Linked DNA regions of Ovis aries. The protein of the gene in region 3 interacts with the protein of the main gene of each other region in a biochemical or structural test. Links are inferred from orthologs where the notes say so. Each region holds a gene or a part of one and is shown on either strand. Other genes may lie near its edges.

Evidence for each region. The genes of interacting proteins can lie anywhere in the genome.
Region 1: the proteins of SDCBP (region 3) and FZD7 interact in a biophysical measurement, tested with the Homo sapiens proteins (2 studies listed by IntAct, with this or other methods). The link is inferred for Ovis aries from reciprocal best matches to the Homo sapiens genes SDCBP and FZD7.
Region 2: the proteins of SDCBP (region 3) and SDC2 form a complex in vitro, tested with the Homo sapiens proteins (3 studies listed by BioGRID and IntAct, with this or other methods). The link is inferred for Ovis aries from reciprocal best matches to the Homo sapiens genes SDCBP and SDC2.

What each region holds. Positions count from the first base shown.
Region 1 is NC_056055.1:204,348,606-204,354,676, reverse strand, and holds the start of FZD7 (frizzled-7), read right to left. Parts: upstream 4,173-6,071; 5' UTR 3,398-4,172; coding exon 1,673-3,397; 3' UTR 1-1,672. UniProt on the Homo sapiens protein: Receptor for Wnt proteins.
Region 2 is NC_056062.1:80,612,584-80,618,775, reverse strand, and holds the start of SDC2 (syndecan-2), read left to right. Parts: upstream 1-2,020; 5' UTR 2,021-2,471; coding exon 2,472-2,531; intron 2,532-3,654; exon of another isoform or gene 3,655-6,157; intron 6,158-6,192. UniProt on the Homo sapiens protein: Cell surface proteoglycan which regulates dendritic arbor morphogenesis.
Region 3 is NC_056062.1:37,742,528-37,748,047, forward strand, and holds part of SDCBP (syntenin-1), read left to right. Parts: intron 1-235; coding exon 236-345; intron 346-3,020; coding exon 3,021-3,182; intron 3,183-4,821; coding exon 4,822-4,997; intron 4,998-5,520. UniProt on the Homo sapiens protein: Multifunctional adapter protein involved in diverse array of functions including trafficking of transmembrane proteins, neuro and immunomodulation, exosome biogenesis, and tumorigenesis.

The sequences.
Region 1 (6,071 bases), on a different chromosome or scaffold from region 3:
AGGATAGTGTTGCTGGATTGGAGGGTGATGTCAAAGGTGGAGTAAAGGTTAGCTCCCATGATTCTCTGTTCAGCTTTAGACCATTATGCAAAGGAATTGGAGTCCTATTATAGAGGAAAAAAAGGTACATGATTTAAGATTAATAAATTTAAGTCATCCAGCACATTTCAAAGAACTCCAGACTTACTTTGAAGTTTACCTTCTTTTAATGACTTTCCTTAAAAATGGGGCCCATGGTTTGAACTGTCCTCTTCACTCACTGTCATTTCTGCAGGTCACCTCCCCACCCAGCCACACAAAGACAGGGTCAGCATACACATGATATTTTATAAACGGATTTATGGAACAAAGAAAACAGGACAAAATGCTCCTTTGACTTTTTAAAAAATTTAACATTCCTTTATTATGAGGCTAAAGGCATTATGCTTCTCCTTTTATCTTGAAGGATTCAAATTGGAGGGAAAAAAAAATTGAAACAAAACCTAAATGCAGGTTTAAGGGAAGAAAAAGAAAATGAAGGGAGAGATTTCCCTGAATGTTTTAACAGAGCCTGTTGGATCATGTGTTCTGAATTAAATTTACTTATACACAGCAAAACCCCTTGCATTTCCTTTAGCCAAGTCAGTACCTCTGACAGAAAGGGGTATGGAAGCACACCGCCCTTCACTTTTCCTTAAAAAGGAATGTTTATTACAACCAAATTAACATCCAAAGGGAAACCTCAGATTTGCGCTGCTTTGCCTATAAAAGTTGCTGTCTTCACAGTTGTGCCTTTCCACAGGGAGACACTTGTTTCCTCTTTTGTCTCTTACAACAAAGACAAGGGAAAAAAATGCATTCCTATTTTGAAAAGCAACAAGTCATCACTTCTTTTCAGGATATTAAACCAAATAAAACAGGCTTCTTTCTTCCTTCTGCTTCCCCAGAAAATAAAAAAGTAGTAGAAATACCTACTACTTGCCTCCTTTTCCTTGTTGCAAAATGTTGTCATTTCTTTTGCATCCTCACATCAGGATTCTAGGAGGCTGGCCTCCCAAGACTTCAAAATGGTTATTTTACAAGACTTGAAAGGAGTAGAGGAAGAAAAACAGGCGGGGAGGAGGCAGAGGTGGAGACTGTAATGTCTGACCCTGGAAATTAACCCATCTGGACTCCAGTTTGGCCCCAGTGAAAAGAGATTATGGTTTGACCACCGCTTGACAAGGACACTGCAGGGTGTCCTCCCTTTTCCTAACAAAGCAGCGGCCTCAGACAGCTGTACCTTTCACCCGGGCCTCACAGGAGTGAGGACAGGCCACTTGTCTTGCAGCAGGGAAATCGCTCACAGTCCCAGTTCGGCCCAGAGCCGGGAAGAACTCACAGCAACCTTCTGATCTCAATCTTTTCCGACAGGCCCAAGGCGGCCCGTACCGCACATGATTAACATCACTGTTACCATCACCAGCATCATCCTGCAAGTCTTTGCCAGAAGTCTTTTCATCCAAACCGTATTTCCACCCAGGCCTCTTTTCCCAACCCACATATATCTACATATATCTTCTCATTTCCAGGTGACTTCTCACTGGAGCGGAAGGAGGTTCCAGAAACAAGTCCCCCCACCCCGCAGTTCTTTCCCTACCGCCCCTTTCCCACCCCCGGCGGCGGGAAGGAAGGGTGGGGGAGGGGCCGGGGTTCATACCGCAGTCTCCCCCTTGCTGCTGTGGCTGAGTCTGTGGTAGAAGCGGCGCCACGACTGCAGGGTCTTGCCCGACCAGATCCAGAAGCCAGTGGTGATGCCGACGATCATGGTCATCAGGTACTTGATCATGAAGACGGTAAAGTCGGGGCTCATGGGCGGGAAGTGGCCTGGCGGGCAGGGCACCGCGTAGCTCTTGCAAGTCTGCAGGAGCCAGGTGCGTTCCCAGTGTTCGCGGAAGGCCTGCTCATAGAAGTAGCAGGCCAGAACGATGGTGGCCGGCACCGTGTAGAGCACGCTGAAGACGCCGATGCGCACCATCAGCTTCTCCAGCTTCTCAGTCTTGGTGCCGTCGTGCTTCATGATGGTGCGGATGCGGAAGAGAGACACGAAGCCCGCCAGCAGGAAGGACGTGCCGATGAAGAGGTAGACGAACAGGGGCGCCAGCACGAAGCCCCGCAGCGCGTCCACGCTGGACAGGCCCACGTAGCACACCCCGCTGAGCAGGTCCCCGTCCACCTGGCCCATAGCCAGGATGGTGATGGTCTTGACAGCGGGCACCGCCCAGGCGGCCAGGTGGAAGTACTGCGAGTTGGCCTCGATGGCCTCGTGGCCCCACTTCATGCCGGCCGCCAGGAACCAAGTGAGCGACAAGATGACCCACCAGATGGAACTGGCCATGCCGAAGAAGTAGAGCACCATGAAGAGGATGGTGCAGCCCTCCTTCTTGGTGCCCTGCGCCACCGTGCGGTAGCCGTCGTCGGAGAAGCGCTCCACGCACACCGCGCGGTCCTCCAGCAGGAAGCCGGCCACGTGCGCCACGGCCACCATGAAGTAGCAGCCTGACAGGAAGATGATGGGCCGCTCCGGGTAGCTGAACCGCCGCATGTCCACTAGGTAGGTGAGCACGGTGAAGAGAGTCGAGGCGCAGCACAGCACAGACCACACGCCCACCCAGAGGCGGGCGAAGCGCCTCTCCTCCTCCTTAAAGTACATAAGGCCATTAGCGCGGCCCGGCTCGCAAGGGGCGCCGCAGTCGCGCTCGCCAAGGAAGCGGTAGCCCAGGTAGGGGGGCACCTTGAGCTGGCGGGGGCACGAGAAGGGGAAAGCGGAGCGGCCCCGGCCGTCGGCGGCCCCCGGAGGCAGCGCGGTGAAGGGCAGGTCGGGCAGGTAGGGTGCGGTAGGGTAGGCGGTGGGGCCGCCGCCCGCGCCCCCGGAGCCGTCCGACGTGTTTTGGCCCACGCAGATCTCGCCAGCGCCGTGCACGGGGAAGTTCTCGCAACGCAGCCGTTCAGGCCATTGGAAGCCGAACTTGTTCATGAGTGCTTCACAGCCCTGGCGGGCACGCTCGCAGAGAGAGCGGCACGGAGGGATGGCCTTGTCGAGCACCGTACACACGGGTGCGTACATGGAGCAGAGGAAGAACCGCAGCTCGGGAGAACACTGCACCTTCACCAGCGGGTAGAACTGGTGCACCTCGAGGCCCGCCTCCTCTTGGTTCGTGTGACCCAGCAGGTTGGGCAAGATGGTCTGGTTGTAGGCGATGTCCGTGCACAGAGGGATGGAGATGGGCTGGCAGAAGCCGTGGTCTGGCACTGAGATGCCCTTCTCTCCGTGGTACGGCTGCGCCCCGGCGCCCGCGGGCAGTGCGCCCAGCAGCGCCAGCGCCAGGGTGCAAAGGTCCAGAGGCAAGCGCGACACCGCCGCGCAGGAGCCCCGCATCGCCGGCCGCGGGTGCAGCGGCACTCTCAGCCCGAGAAACGCGACCAGGCAGCCGGGAGAGGCTGGGATCGGGGGAGGCGCCGCTGCGCCGGGCGCATGAGAGTCCTCCCGGCGCCGGGGCTGGGCCGTGGGCGGCGCGGAACAGAGGGCGCTGCAGCTGGGGTGCTCCCGCCACGGGGGCGCCGCCGCCTCCGCCCAGCACTGGCGCAGCCGCCGGGGGTCCAAACTCGTCTCGCTGGGCTGGGGGCGCAGATGGGGGGCCGCCTTCTCCTCTTGATGCGACGTAACGGTGCGGCTTTTTCTGCGGCGAGGAGCAACAAGCGTCTCCGGTTACCCTTCAAAGTTTGCCCAAGTCTCCCGACTCACTGAGCTCAATAGGGCGCGCGCCGCACCCCCACACTAAGTCTGGCCCCGGCAGGCGAGACCCCGGCGCCCCCGCTTGCTAGCCAAAGCCGCCGCCTCAACGGTGCTGCTCCGCCTCCTCTCCTCGAGGCTCCGCTCGCCGCCGCCTCCTCCTTCGCCTCCTTCTCCGCTCCTTGCTCCTTCTTCAGCCCCAGAAGCTTGGCTCCAACTTTCAGCCAAACGGCTAATTCTCGCTCTGAGTCCGATCGGCGTCTTGGAGCCAAGAGCTCGGCGAGTTCTTTTAAGAAATCCAGTCACACTGCGTCCGAGGCTGCGAGGTCCTGGTGCCCGCGGCCTGGGCCTGGCCTCTCCAGCCCCGCGCAACTCTGAGCGGTGAGGGAGCGCTGCCCGCCGGGAGGGAGCGCAGAGTAACGCCTCGGAGCCGCGCAACTCTACAGAAGAAGCGTCGGGCTCTCAGGGTTCCGGACCGCCCCGCCCCCTCCCCTCCCCCCATTCACAAACCACTCCGGGGGCGGGCCCTCGAGCTCCAGGGAGGCCCAATAGCAGCCTTTGTTTTCTGTGTGACTGTCTTCGGATTGGGTGGAAGTCGGAAGGGGCGGGCAAGGGAACGAGAGAGGCTAGGTCTGCGGAGCTCTGGGCGGATTCCTGAGGGGAGGGGCAGGGGGCTGGGAGGGAAAAGTTAAGAAAAACTTTTACCCTGAATTCACTGGGGGGAGGGGGTAGAGAAGCGCACCAGAAAGGGAATTTGCTTGAAATATTTGTTCCTTAGTGTTCCGGGTACACTAAAATACAGATTCCTGAACAGAAGGGCGCACCGGGCAAGGCTTTTGCATGGAGAGGTTGAGAATAAGAATAGCACCTCCCCGGAGAGAAACGCGACCCGGAGTTGTGTTTAGCACTCCTTGGGCTGAAAATGCTGGATTTGGAGGGGGGCTTTTAGGTGACAGGATCCTAAATGCGGGGTTCGGAATGGGGCAAGAAATGGGTGCGCCTCGCGGATTGCTTTTCTCTCGGCAGACTTAGACCACGTGAGGCCACAATCCCCGCTCACCCCCTCTCCGGGTTGTAAAAAGGAGGAGGGGCCCAGGCTGAAGAGAAATAGGAGTCGGGCAGAGGGGGCCGGCTTAAGGCAGGAGGAAGTGTCGACCCCTCCAAGGGGACAGGGCCGACGAGCGGCGGGCGCGGGGGACTCAGGCTTCAGGCCACCCTGCCCGCACGCACGGCCCAGAGTCTAGGGATTTGGTATAGCTTTAGTGAAATCGTAAGAAAACTAGTGCGGGAAATTATTGTAAAAAAAACCTGCGGCCGAGTGCCCAGAACACTGTACAGGTTTACAGCGAGTATTTAATTGCCTATTTTCTTTAGTTCCGTGGCGTGTGGCCCTTGGGAGTCCCACCTTCGTCGCGGAAGCAATGATTTGATTCTTGGAATCTGCGTAGAAAAGTTTTAATGCATATTAGAAACCAAAGGCATTTGCTAATTAAAGAGTTTCCAAAACACAAAGAGAAGTTATCCTTGTTCTCGGGTAGCGTTTTCTGATTGGCAAGCGTTCTTTTGTTCTCGATCAAATCTTCGCCCCGCTGAAGGCACTGGGCCCTGGCGCGCGCTCTCTGGTTACTCACAGCGAAATCAGAAGTTACAGCGGGTGGAGGTGGGGGATGTTCCTACCTTCTCACCGGACCGCGAGGAATAGCATGAATTCCCATGCAGCAAAGTGACATGCTAAGCAAGGAAAAATCTTCTCTGTGACACTCCCTCTCCGCCCTCCCCCCAGTCCTCTGCCTTAAAAAACGTTACTCCTGGCCTAGCCCTTCCTCCTGCCAGCTCAGTTCCAGGCGCTAGAGCCCTGAGGGATTCTGATCAGGATGCAAGTTTGCAGAAGTTAGAAGTTGCTGTCTCTGCTGCCCGGAGTGAGCCTCTTCTCCAGCAAGAAAAGACAGATCCTGAAACCGAAGACAATTAATTGGGTTCCCTTCCATAGGAGACTTTGGCCTCCTCTGTTTTTCTTTTTTTCTATTACTGCTTTATGGGGAATCTGTTCTTCCACTTCACAGTTCTTTGTCCTCCACTCTTGTTAATGGGCCTGGAAGGTTGAATCATTTAGGCCAAGGTAGGGTGTCAGACTGCTCACATTCTCCATCTGGTCCTCAACAGGAATCCTCGTCTTTTTTCTTCCAAAGGATCAGTTTTCCCTTCACACCCAGGGCTTTTTTTTTTTTTTTTTCTTTTGGGCAGTCTGCCTCAAGGTAATATGAAAGATTAATAATATTTTCTTTAAACATGTTTTCTTCTCTCTTTGTATTTTTCAAGG
Region 2 (6,192 bases), about 43 Mb from region 3:
CTGACTCTGCATGTTTAGCCAGACCCTTTTCTGTGGGGGGTGGTGGGAGTGGGGGCAGGAGGGGATGGGATACGGGGTATTGGTGAGGGGAGCTAAGAATACTTTCATCCAGGTTACAGGATGACAGTGGCCCTTGGACTGGCAGCCTGGCAGAAGTAGGAATGGCCACATTCAGCTGTGTTCAAACCACAGAGAATCCACCTTAAAACACCGTCACAGTTCATTCTCCCCAAAACCAAGCAAGACCCAGTCCCACATCGATCCGCCAGGTACCAGCTCAGTTTCTGTGGAAGTTACAGCTCCCAGTCTCCTGATATTTTTCTGTTCTGTCCACTCTTCCATTTTTCCAAACTACCTCTTGGATGCCAACCCCTTAGATTTGCCTGTTGGGAGCCTGGTAGTTGGGACTTTTAAACCAAAGAAGTGGACCTCTCAGACTCAGTGCTTTTAACGTTTCCTCCGGCTCTCTAAATTTCTTTCTCTGAGACTTCTTCCATGAAATGTTACTAAGACATTGTAATTCTCACTTAGAGCATGAGTCTAATTTATTCCAAGTTCAAAAATTTTCACTGTCTAGTATCTGTGCGTGCTCAGGTGTGTCTGACTCTTTGTGACCCTTTGGGCTGTAGCCCCCCAGGCTCCTGGGTCCATGGGATGTTTCAGGCAAGAAAACTGGAGTGGGTTTCCATTTCCTCTTCCAAGGGATCCTCCCCACCCAGGGATGGAACATGCATTTCTTGTGTCTCCTGCAGTGCAGGCAGGCAGATACTTTTGCAGTTTTAGATCAAAGTTTATCCAAGAAATATCTATTGTGTATTTTATGAAGCAGGAATGAGAATACAGTGGTGAACAAGATAGAAAGTTCCCTGGTTTCCTAGAGCAGCCATTCTAGGAGCAGAATGGTTCCATAATTCATTCACTTCAGAAGTCAGAGGGAAAAATAATGCTAGAAATAGGAAAGAACTATGCAGTTTGCCATGTTGTATAGTGTCCTATAGACCCGGAATTGAAAAAAAGACTTCACAACAAAATGTTTCAGATCGATTACTTCCATCCAGGAAATAATACTATTTTTTGCAAACTAGAAATTACTTTATCCCTCTTTTCTTTAAAGTTCTCTTAAATCGGTGATTATTCAAGGTCTCCATCCAATTCTCATCAAATTGCCCTATTTGTAGCTTCCTATTTCTGTGCTGAAATGGAGCCTATAAAATACCTCAGGGGCTTAAACTGTGTGAGGCAAAATGGTACTTAAGTCTTTAGTTGAAATTACAAGCTTTGAAAGTGTTGCATTTTTAATTTATGGGAGTATTCCTCCACTTCCTTTTTTTGGGGGGGGTGGTTAGGGAGAGTGGGAAATACTCAATATACGTTTACTATATTGACTGTCTTCTCTTTTAAACACAATTTTCATGAACTGGAGACTTAGAAACACTTCATACTGCTTGCATCTGTAAACTTCGTGGCTTCCCGCCCCCCACCCCGAGCAGTTTCTTACCGCTAGTCCAATTGTCGCAGGCAGAAAAGCTATTAATAAATACATATCTCGTTTTTCACCGATCTTTCTTCCAGAAAAGTGCAAGTGAAAAGGAAATAGAGAAGAAGGAGTACGGAGGAGGAGAGAGGAAAAGGAGGGAGAGACTAGGGGAGAAAGAAGCCAGAGAATGAAGGCGTAGCAGAGCGCTGGAGCATGGACTGAGGACGAGCGGACCCGGCGCAGCCGCGGCGCGGAGCCGCCTGTGGCCACTGGTCCCCGGAGCTGCCAATCCGGGCGTAATCCTGGAGGAATTTCTCCCGGGTTTCGCTGGGAGTCACACTGCCGCCTCCTCTCCTCGGGCGGCCCGGAGGAGTCCGGAGAAGCCGGCTGGGGAGGGAAGAGGGAGGGAGCGGGAGGAGGAAGGGAGTGGGGGGTGGAGGAGGAGGAGGACCCGGGGAGGGAGGCGGCGGCGCGGGAGGAGGAGGAGGCGGAGGAGGGGCGCCGCGGCTGAGCCACTAGCCCGGCTCGGACGCGCTACTCTCCAGATACTCCGGGAGCTGCAGCCGTGCGGATCGCGCGCCCCCGCCGCTCTGCCCCCAAACTTCAGCTGCAGCTACATTCCAAGCCATCTAATTTATTCCTCAAAAGAATCAGAAACGGAGCAGCGACACAGGGAAGGAGTCCGCGGAGGAGTAAAACCACAGCAGAGCAACAAGAGCCTCCGAGCCGCCTCCCCCGCCCGGAGCCACAATCCGGCCTCGGGAGTGAAGGAGCCAACAAGTGAGAAGGCGCCGCGGTCCCGGGGCGCAGCCGGAGGAAGCGGGCGCTCCGGAGCCCCGAGCCCCCCGAGTCCCGTCGAGTCCCCCGAACCGCGGTCGCTGCGGCAGCTCTGCTCCTGATCTTTCTGCGCGAGCAGCGCCGGGCGCTGGGCGAGAAGCTTCGTGTTCTCCCTCGTTGCAAGCGGGCAGCTGGGAGCCACCGGTCCCGGAGGAATATGCGGCGCGCTTGGATCCTGCTCACCTGGGTCTTGGTGGCCTGCGTGTCCGCCGAGTCGGTGAGTTGGGCCGGGCGGGGGTCGCGCGCCGTTTAAGGTGCGGAGGCCGAGCCGAGTCCGCAGACCCCGCGGAGAATCGGGGAGCGCCCCCTGGGGGATGCCCCCCCACCCAGTCCCCCGCTGCCAGACGTATAGCTGGGGATCCCCCGGGGATCTAAGGGATAAATGCGCTCCACGCCTTCTCCCCTTTCCCTTTCCGCAGAAAAGCGCCTCTCGCTGAAGTTACCCCGAGGTACCCCGGGATGAGAGCGAAGGTATTGCCGTTTTGTCGAACCGCGGAGGCCGCTGAAGACGTTCCCAACTTATTCACCCTCCCGAGGGTCTTGCTGCGTCGCCGAGAAGGACCGATGGGGAAGGGGGACGGGAGAGAGGAAGCGTGCATAGGGCTTCGAGGGAACTGGTCCCCCCCGCGCGCTCCCCGAGACTCGGGGACGGCCTGGAAACTTTGGGGGTCCTTTCCTCCATGCACCCTCCCCCCGCGCCACCCCCCCCCCCCGTCCCCCGCGCCAGCTTCCCTACTGGATTGAATGCAGGTTCTGGGAAGATGGGGCTAAGCTTTTTAAGAAACCCGCGAAGTGTCCGGAGAGGAAAGTTTGCAAAAAAGTTCTTTTGTTTGATGTTCCCAGTGGCTGGGGTGAGGGAGCAGACACTACGGGATAACGCGACCCGCGGAGGCGCGCAGTCCTGGGTCCTGCTGGGGGCGCGGGGGGAGTGCGTGGAAAATGCACCCGAAAATGCCGGGGTGCGGACCCTGGACTCCCATTTCTGCCGACCCGTTCTGCTTGAGGGTCCAGGGGGCTCGCGGGCCATCAGGGGCCGGAGGGCATCTCTGTATGGATCGCGTTCGAGCGCGGCAGCTGGGCGAGACGGGGGTGCGGATGGCACTGCACTCGGCCTCGGGCCGCCTGGCCGCTCGCAGCCTGAAGCTTCCAGCCTGACGCGCTCGCTCTCGCGGACCCCGGCCGGGGTGCCCCCAGGCCCGGGGGAGTCTCTTCTCTGGCTCCGGCTGCGGGCAACCCAGCCTCCCTCCCCGGCCTTGGTGGTGGGAACTGGGTTTCCCCTCCTCTGGCTCGAGGGTTGGAGCTGGTTTCCCTACGACGCCCAGTGAGCGCCCTCTACAGGGAAATGCCTCCTGGGCTTGCCCTTGTGCCTGGCGGCCCCTACCTGGTCGCCCCGAGCTTTGTCCGGCTGGGTGGAACCCCGAAACACCCGCGAGCCCGTCTGCAGCCTCAGCGCGGTCCGGGGCCTCGGGTAGGGAGGACAGCTGTTTCTACCCTCCTCTCGTTCCCCATACCTCCTCCCTTGGCTACTTATCAACGTGTCCATTTCTAATAAATCGGACCGTCCCTTCCAAGACAAATCATGTCATCTTTAGGGGTGGTTTTGTAAGGTTTTTTTCCCCCTTTCGCCTTTGGCGTGTTATTCTTCCCTTCTCTCCCGGCCCCCTCCTTTTTTTTTTTTTTTCCTTTTAAATTGATACGATTTAGGATTGGGGAACCTCTTTGGCACCGAGCAGCCGATGTGGCATTTATCATGTGTGCGGAGGGGCTCTGGGTGTGCTAGCAGGTCGCCAAACGTTACGCGGAGATTGGAGAGCGTAGACTGAACACATTTGGGTGCTCCGGCTGGCTGTAGAGCTCCGAGCATTTCTCTTTGACATACTATCGTTTTTATCCGTTGGGATTGGTAATCTCCCAGCCAGTTATGAACTTTGGCTCTTTGCACAGATTCTCTGTTTCTTTCAGAAAATCATTACTGTTCATCTTGTTGCAAAACAGGGCAAAGGGAGAACTCTATCTAAAGATTTTCTAGTGAAGCCTGCGTGAAAAGCTGTGCGGGGCTAAGGAGGTCCCTTTTTGCTGAGTCCTGTTTGGAGATTTGCTAGAAAGTGTTACTATTTGAGGATTCTACAGGAAGAATATTTCCCTGGGTTTTTTCTTAAATCCAACAGTGATTCATAAGGAAGCTTTTTGGCTGAACGATACCTGTCTTCTCCGGTGACACCCTCCCCCCTGCCCCAACTCTTTGGGGTTCTAGTATTTCTCATTTCCAGCCAGAATTGGATGCTTTCCAAATGAGGTGTTTCACCGTGGTAGATACCATTTTCAGGAATTGGAATATCATTCAAAAGGGTGATTAGAGATTTTTAAAATGTCAACTGTAGCATGAATGAAGACTGTAGCAGAGAGTCTGTGAGGGAGGCAATTTTTCTCAAAAGCAGCTGTTTTAAGGCCCAGAAAGGCCAGTAGTTCATTTAAATTACTTTTCAGTCTCTATTTGTTTCAAGTATAGCCACATAAATGGAAAACTTCATTTTTCAACATTTTAGCCATTCTAGTACATTATTTCCAGTACTTTTCATTTTAATGGGAAAACTGCAACTGTTTTCCAGGGAGTCAGAAATAGTGATCATCTGGACTCAGAGCCTCTCTTTTTTTTGGAAGGAAAAGTGTCCGCAGTGCATTCTTGAGTTTTATACCAAGTTCAAGGGGGAAAAGAAAACGAGATTCTCAGCAACTAAGGCTCAAGGCTATCTGTCTGTGGAAGGGAACCAGTGCCCCTTGGTTTCTGCATGCTGGAAACAGCAGGGAGAGCCTGGTCATGGCCGTGCAGTTATACTTCCCACTGACCATGCGAGGGGAAAGACTGACGGAGTGTGGCAGTAGTGATATGCTGCCGTTTTTCTATCAATTTTTTACATGATTGTTTATCTTTAGAAATAATACATTGCAGATTGCTATAAACACGTAATGTGAACTGGAGATATGTTTAAGAAAAGGAAGTGTTTTGAACTAGTGGAATTTTATACCCATGCTTAGATGTGTGTAAATTAAAAGAAATTGTCAAATCATCTGGACCCATGCATTACCTCTCATGTATTATGAAAGGCAGGCATTGGAAAGTTTGCATTCGAAGGAAAAATTAAATTGGAACCATATAACCTTTTGCAGTTCCTTGAAAAAATAAATTTTGGCTGCTCTAGTAATGTAGCTAATTATACTTGCTAGGGAATCTTAGAGGAACAAGGGCTCTTTCTCTGTTAGTTGGATTTTAGCAGTAGGTAGATGTCTCTTAGGAAGGAAAGATCTTATTAAGATCAGGCCTGTGGAAGAATGGGTGTCCAGAGGAATCTGAGTACACCTTCCAAGTCCTACTTCTGGGACCTGGAACATGTAATTTTGATGGTGCTTGCCATTTGAGGGACTGTGTAACATGATTACAAATGTGGCATCTTGAATAATCACTAGTTTGAAAAAGATTTCAAAAGATCATCTTTTTTTTTTTCCTGGGCAGAACTAGTCCTCAAGTCTCCAGAAGCCCCCCCAGTGACCTCACTGGCCAACTTAAGGGGCCAGGAGTCTACTCAAGTTGGCAAAGCCCAAGGTTGACCCAACCACACAGAGCCTGGCCAGCTCTGTCATTAAGGTTTATAGGGAGTCCGGTTAAGTCACTGTGCTATCGGGCTGTCTGCTGGCAAGAATCTTGGGTCACAAGAGGAATGTCATCTGAGATTAGATTCTCACGAGATTGTCTCTCCTCCACTGCCAAAACTCAAACCAGAAGATCTTGCCCATCGTTTTCTTCTTCGTAAGACAGAAGACCTGCTGTTCATGCCGCTGTCGAAGGTACATTCATGTATTTCAAAACCACCTGATTCTTT
Region 3 (5,520 bases):
TTTAGAAGTCTGAGGTTTCAGTTAAAATGTCTTCATACTTTCACTTTTATTTTTCTGTTTTCCTTTTCTAATTGTCATTACAGAGAAAGGGGTTTTCCAGATTACTAATTTAAATTCATCCTAGATTTTATAAAATCAATGTGATTTTTAAAAATACAAGTAAAAGTCCATAATAACAATGTTTTTTTTAAATAGTCTACTAATTTTTTTTCTCTACTGATTCATTTGTTATTAGATCTCTATCCTAAGCTATATCCTGAGCTCTCTCAGTACATGGGCCTGAGTTTAAATGAAGAAGAAATACGTGCAAATATGGCCTTGGTCCCTGGAGCACCAAGTCATGGGGTATGTATAATGTAATTCGTTCTGAATTATATAAAATCATACCTTACACAGAGATACAAGCTAACTCGTCTTTGTGGCAAACTCACAAATTTATAGCCTTAGCATTGATCTCTTCTCAGGATTGCCTTCTAGGTATTGCTTTTTACACAGTCTACTTCCTTCTGTGCTGTTACCACTTTTCTGATTTATTAGGAGTTAAAGATACAGGTGCCTTTAACTGGTACATTCTCCTTTGTCTTCTGCATTTAGTTACAGACCTAGTGACTCTGCTTCTGGTGTGTTTCTTGTATTCATGTTATGCATTGTAGGCTTGCTGTAGCCCTGTCCATGATTTATACCTCTCACCTAGATGTTACACTTGGCTCTTCTTCCAGTAACTCCTCTAGTAACTTGTTATATCAATGAATGCTGAGCTACTGCTAACTTTATCATTCTGAAATTCAGGTCTGTTACCTTTTTTTTGCTCATAATCTTTTTAAGTTTAAAGCTTCTTACAGTTTGACCCCAAATTCTTGGCTTAAATATAGTGTGTCTCAGTCTTTTGTTAAGATTGTTGCTATAAGACTGTAATACCTTACAGTACTTGTCATAGGTAAATGCATAACTTCATGAAGACAGCCTTTATGTCTCTGTTGCTGCCATAACTCCCATGCTTAGTACAGTACCTGGCTTTCAATTTATTCACCAAATATTTATTGAAAACTTGCTTACATCAGTCAGGGTCCAGGTGGAACAACAGAAATCACACAAGAATTTTAACAGAGATAACAAGAAATCAGAGAGGTTGAAGAATTGAAAAAAGCAAAAGCGGAACCCAGAAAGCTGCTTCTCCTAGAACTGGGGCATACGGGATGGGGGTTACAGTTCGCAGAGCCAACAGTGTTGGTGGAGGAGCCCCGTGAGCTGGGCCTCAGGGGAGGGCCCCCTGTGATGGATGCTGGTACCTCTGGGGGCTGCAGGGAGGCTGTGCTGCCAGTGTCTGGAATCTGGAGACTGGAGTCACCTGCTGCCAGCAGCATGAAGGGCTGGCCCCAGGCAGTACTGGCAGGAGCAGGAAGCAGACAGGAAGGGGCAGGCCCTGGCACGTCCTCCTCGCGAGGGGTCCTGACCAGAAAGCCATGGCAGAAGAGGGCTCACCACAGAGGGTGGGCTTGGAAGGCACGGACAGTCTGTGACGCTTGCTGGCCTCTCTTCTCTTCAGTGTGCCCACAGGCTTCTTTCTTCATATTTCTTCACATTTGTTGACGCGCAACAAATATTTTCTGGTAAGGGAACCATAGTAAGTACGTTCAGCTTTACTAGCCAGTATATACAGAGACCTTGAGAGGCTTCCGGGCAGAAATGAGCTTGAGAGGCCTGAGAGACAGGACCTCGGTGAGGGCAGATGAGACAGAATGTGGCTGCAGATGCACTGGGGGGTGACATTGGAAGGGCTGTCAGGCCAGGTAGTCTGTGGCCTTGTGGACAGGGTAAGGGGTTGGGGGTCTGAGTTGTGGGATTAACAAAAGGGTTTCAGTGCTTGCTGTGTGGAGGGCAAATAGAAGGGCAAGAGTAGATGGTGGTCATAGTAGCCTTAGCAGGAGGGAGCAGTGGTCATGTGTTGGTCATATGGATCATGGTAAGAACACCGAGTAAGCACTTAACTGTACTTGCTGGAAAGAAATTCTTTTCCAAAAGTTATACTCCAAAGCTCCTCCCTTTTGTCCTATGTTTCAGCTAAACTAAATTCATTTGCTTAATTTTTTCTATCCCATTGCCTGATTTTTATGCTTTTATAGCTGTAATCATTGAATTTTTGTAATTCTTCAAAAGTTGTATTTTCTGGTATTGTGCTTGATTAGTGGTATGGCTCTTTGTGTGTGTGTGATGTCCTGGTGACTGTGATTCTGAACGGAGACATTGGCAGCCTGTGTGTGTGCGGCTGAGGTTTCTCTCCCCCATCATGGCTGTTCTGAGCATCACGGTGTCAGACCAGAGCTTTTCATGACAGGTTCCGGTTAAGACGCTTTGGTAACAAATATGCTCTTCCCTCATTTTCTTTGGTAGAGGAAAGGGTCCACTTAAAACACTAAACTCATTTTGGTCAAGAAAAAAAAATTAGGAATGTGAGGCCTGGTACCTAACGGAGTCCCTAGTACAGCTATTCTCCATACAGTTGGTTAATCCACAGATGTTTACCAAAGGGATGAAAAATAACATTTGTCTTGTGTGTGTCAGCACTTGACTAGTAGGTGCTTTTAGTCCTTGTAGTGGAGCTGTGAGGTAAGAAGTTTGCCTCTGTAATAAAAACTCTGAAAGGGTAAGTACATTGTTGAAGGCCATATAAAAGAACCCTCAGGAAGATGCTGTGTGAGTTTAAAAGTAAAGTACAGCCTTTATAAAGTTCAAGGATAATATATTTGAGTTGAAAACAAGCCAGGGTACACATAAAACAAATGCCAGTGAATTCATCGGGCAACAGAGTCATTGAGTCTGCTGGAGATGGTGTCTGGGGGGGTAAATTACCTGCAGAATTAGTTTTAAAAAACAAAATAGGGTCATTTTTGCAAAACTCATATCTGAAGGAAATAATCGGCAGATTACATTTTAGGAAACCACAACAGAATATGTTCAATTTTGGATTTTCTCAGGGCGCGTGTTTGCGAATACTGACGTGTTGCATGTGTCTTTGGCAGCAGTTGGTGGCACGGCCTTCCAGCATGGACCACATGGTGGCCCCTGTCACTGGTGGCGACACTGGGATCCGCAGAGCAGAGATCAAGCAAGGGATCCGAGAAGTCATCTTGTGTAAGGATCAAGACGGGAAGATTGGGCTCCGGCTGAAATCCATAGACAATGTAAGTGCTTTCAGTACACTTGTCTGATTAGCTGTTATGTGACCCAGTTACAATTTAAAATGTAAATGCTTTAATGAAGTGTAATGGTGCTCTCTGATCAAGACTACTTTTAATCTGCTTTTCCACGTGAGATGCTACCCTGTTCTGAAGAGGCAGAGCTGGGACTTGAGCATTACCATGGATGAATTTTTTCTGAGTCCTTTTTCTGGAATAAAGTTCACTAGTCTGCGTGTATTATAACATAGTTCATACAAGGAGAATGCTGGCATTGAAATAGGGTAACGTGTGGAAGTTAAGACTGATAGGTGAGGGTCAGTGGTCTTGTGTATTTTTAAACTTAAAGACGATCATGTGACTTGTAATGTGGTTTGGGGTTTGTTATTTCCATCCTTGAATTTGACTTTCATGGGGCATTTTCCAGGCAACAGTGACTTTCTAAAGTACATTACTTCACCTCTCACCTTACCAGATGGAAGAAATGAAACCTGGTTACTCTGTGGGGAAGCACTTAGGATCACTAAGGAGGTGCTGAGTCTTTACCCTGATTTGTGGGTTTCCAGGTTATTTATTGGGCTTCTTTTCAGTCTTCGGTCTCATAGCTCAGCGCATCCAGCCTTTGCATGTAGAAGATGTGGCGCCTGGCGGAAGATGTTTGAGGCCAGTCCGGGCCCTACCTGCCTCCCCAGAGGCTGAGGGCATTGTGTCTTTGCACACTTGTGGCTTGTGTGAGACCCTCATTGAGTGTGCTGCTCTGGGAAGCTCGCACTTCCCTGCCCTCTCTACATCCTAGAGAGAGACCACACTCTCCGCAGCTCCACCCCTGCAGCAGTTATCCTTGCAGTGGTTTGTCCAGTGGCCGAAGCTTGTAGGTGTAGCCACTCTGCTGGGTGCCGTCCTCAAGTACAGGATACGCAGCACCAAATCTGAGTACAGGCTACGCAGCACCAAATCTGGGGCAGCTCAGGACGGAGAAGGGGTGCGACCTGTGGTTGCTTTCATCTCTTACTGGCACATGCCTTTTACACTTGGCTTGTTGATAGTGTTCAGCATCTGAAATTTAGTTTACATGAGTAAAAATAGCCTGTGGGTTTAGTTCTCAGATACCTGTACTTGAGTTCTCTGTATTTACCTCGAAGATTTTTAAGAACGGGGGTTGTATTCCGTGTACCCACCTTTTTAGGCTGTTTAATAGTAGTGATTATGCGTAATTTAGCAAGCGAGTAAAGGAATTCTTCAGCTCAAAAGGTAAACTTCTGACCTAAACCTATCACTTTTCTTAAACTTCCAACACTTTACTGTCTTCCCTCCTAAATAATGACCAGGTGCAGTAATACCTGTTTGGTATTTTATCAGACTCATGGAACCTTACATTTCTTATAGTAATCTGACTTTATTTTCCTTAGTTTTTTTATTCCAAGGTGGAGGGGGTGATGGAATTTGGTCAGGTGAGTCATGATGTGAGCTAGAAATTACCACTCAGATCTTCCTGTTGCCTTGATAGCATTTTCAGTTTCCTTCTTGGGAGTAATGAAACACACTTGTGTAGTTTTCTCTTTTTTAAAAAAAAATTACTAGAGTAGCTGCCTAAACAGTTGGTTCCTGATTTTCCAGCACTTACTTAGTGATTTCCATCCTCCAGGGTATATTTGTTCAGCTTGTCCAGGCCAATTCTCCGTCCTCCCTGGTGGGCCTGCGGTTTGGGGACCAGGTACTTCAGATAAACGGCGAGAACTGTGCTGGCTGGAGCTCGGACCGGGCGCACAAGGTGCTCAAACAGGCTTTTGGAGAGAAGATCACCATGACCATTCGGGACAGGTGAGCCAACTAAACGCCACATGTGGACATTAAGGACTAGTTTTCCATTTTCTTAGGGTTTTAAGGTTCTGGAAATACAGCATTTTGTTGCGGAAAATAATCAAATATTATTGATTAGTTTTATATTTATACTCTTGTAGTTCTGTGTTGCTTTCACTTTCTTACATAGTTTGACTTTTTAAAAACAGTATTCTGGTTTTGCATACACCTTATTTCAGAGCTTACAGAAATTTGTCCTTTGAGAAGTTCCTTTCCTGTCTTAATCAGTTTCTCTGAAAAATGAAAGGTAACAGCAACAAGTGTCTGGACTTTGCCCCTGGTTTCCTGCTCAGAGTGGATACATGGGGGCCTACCAGTTCCCAAAACCCAGCCTGGCCTTCTGGGTGGCTGAGGCTCGAGTCCTTGGTGGGAGCATCATCTTTAGCTTGTTTATAATGGAACTTGCGGTACCTGTGCTACGGACACCACCACCTTCTCGGCCACGCAGGGGTTGAGGGGCAGACCTTGTAACACATTTTTAGCT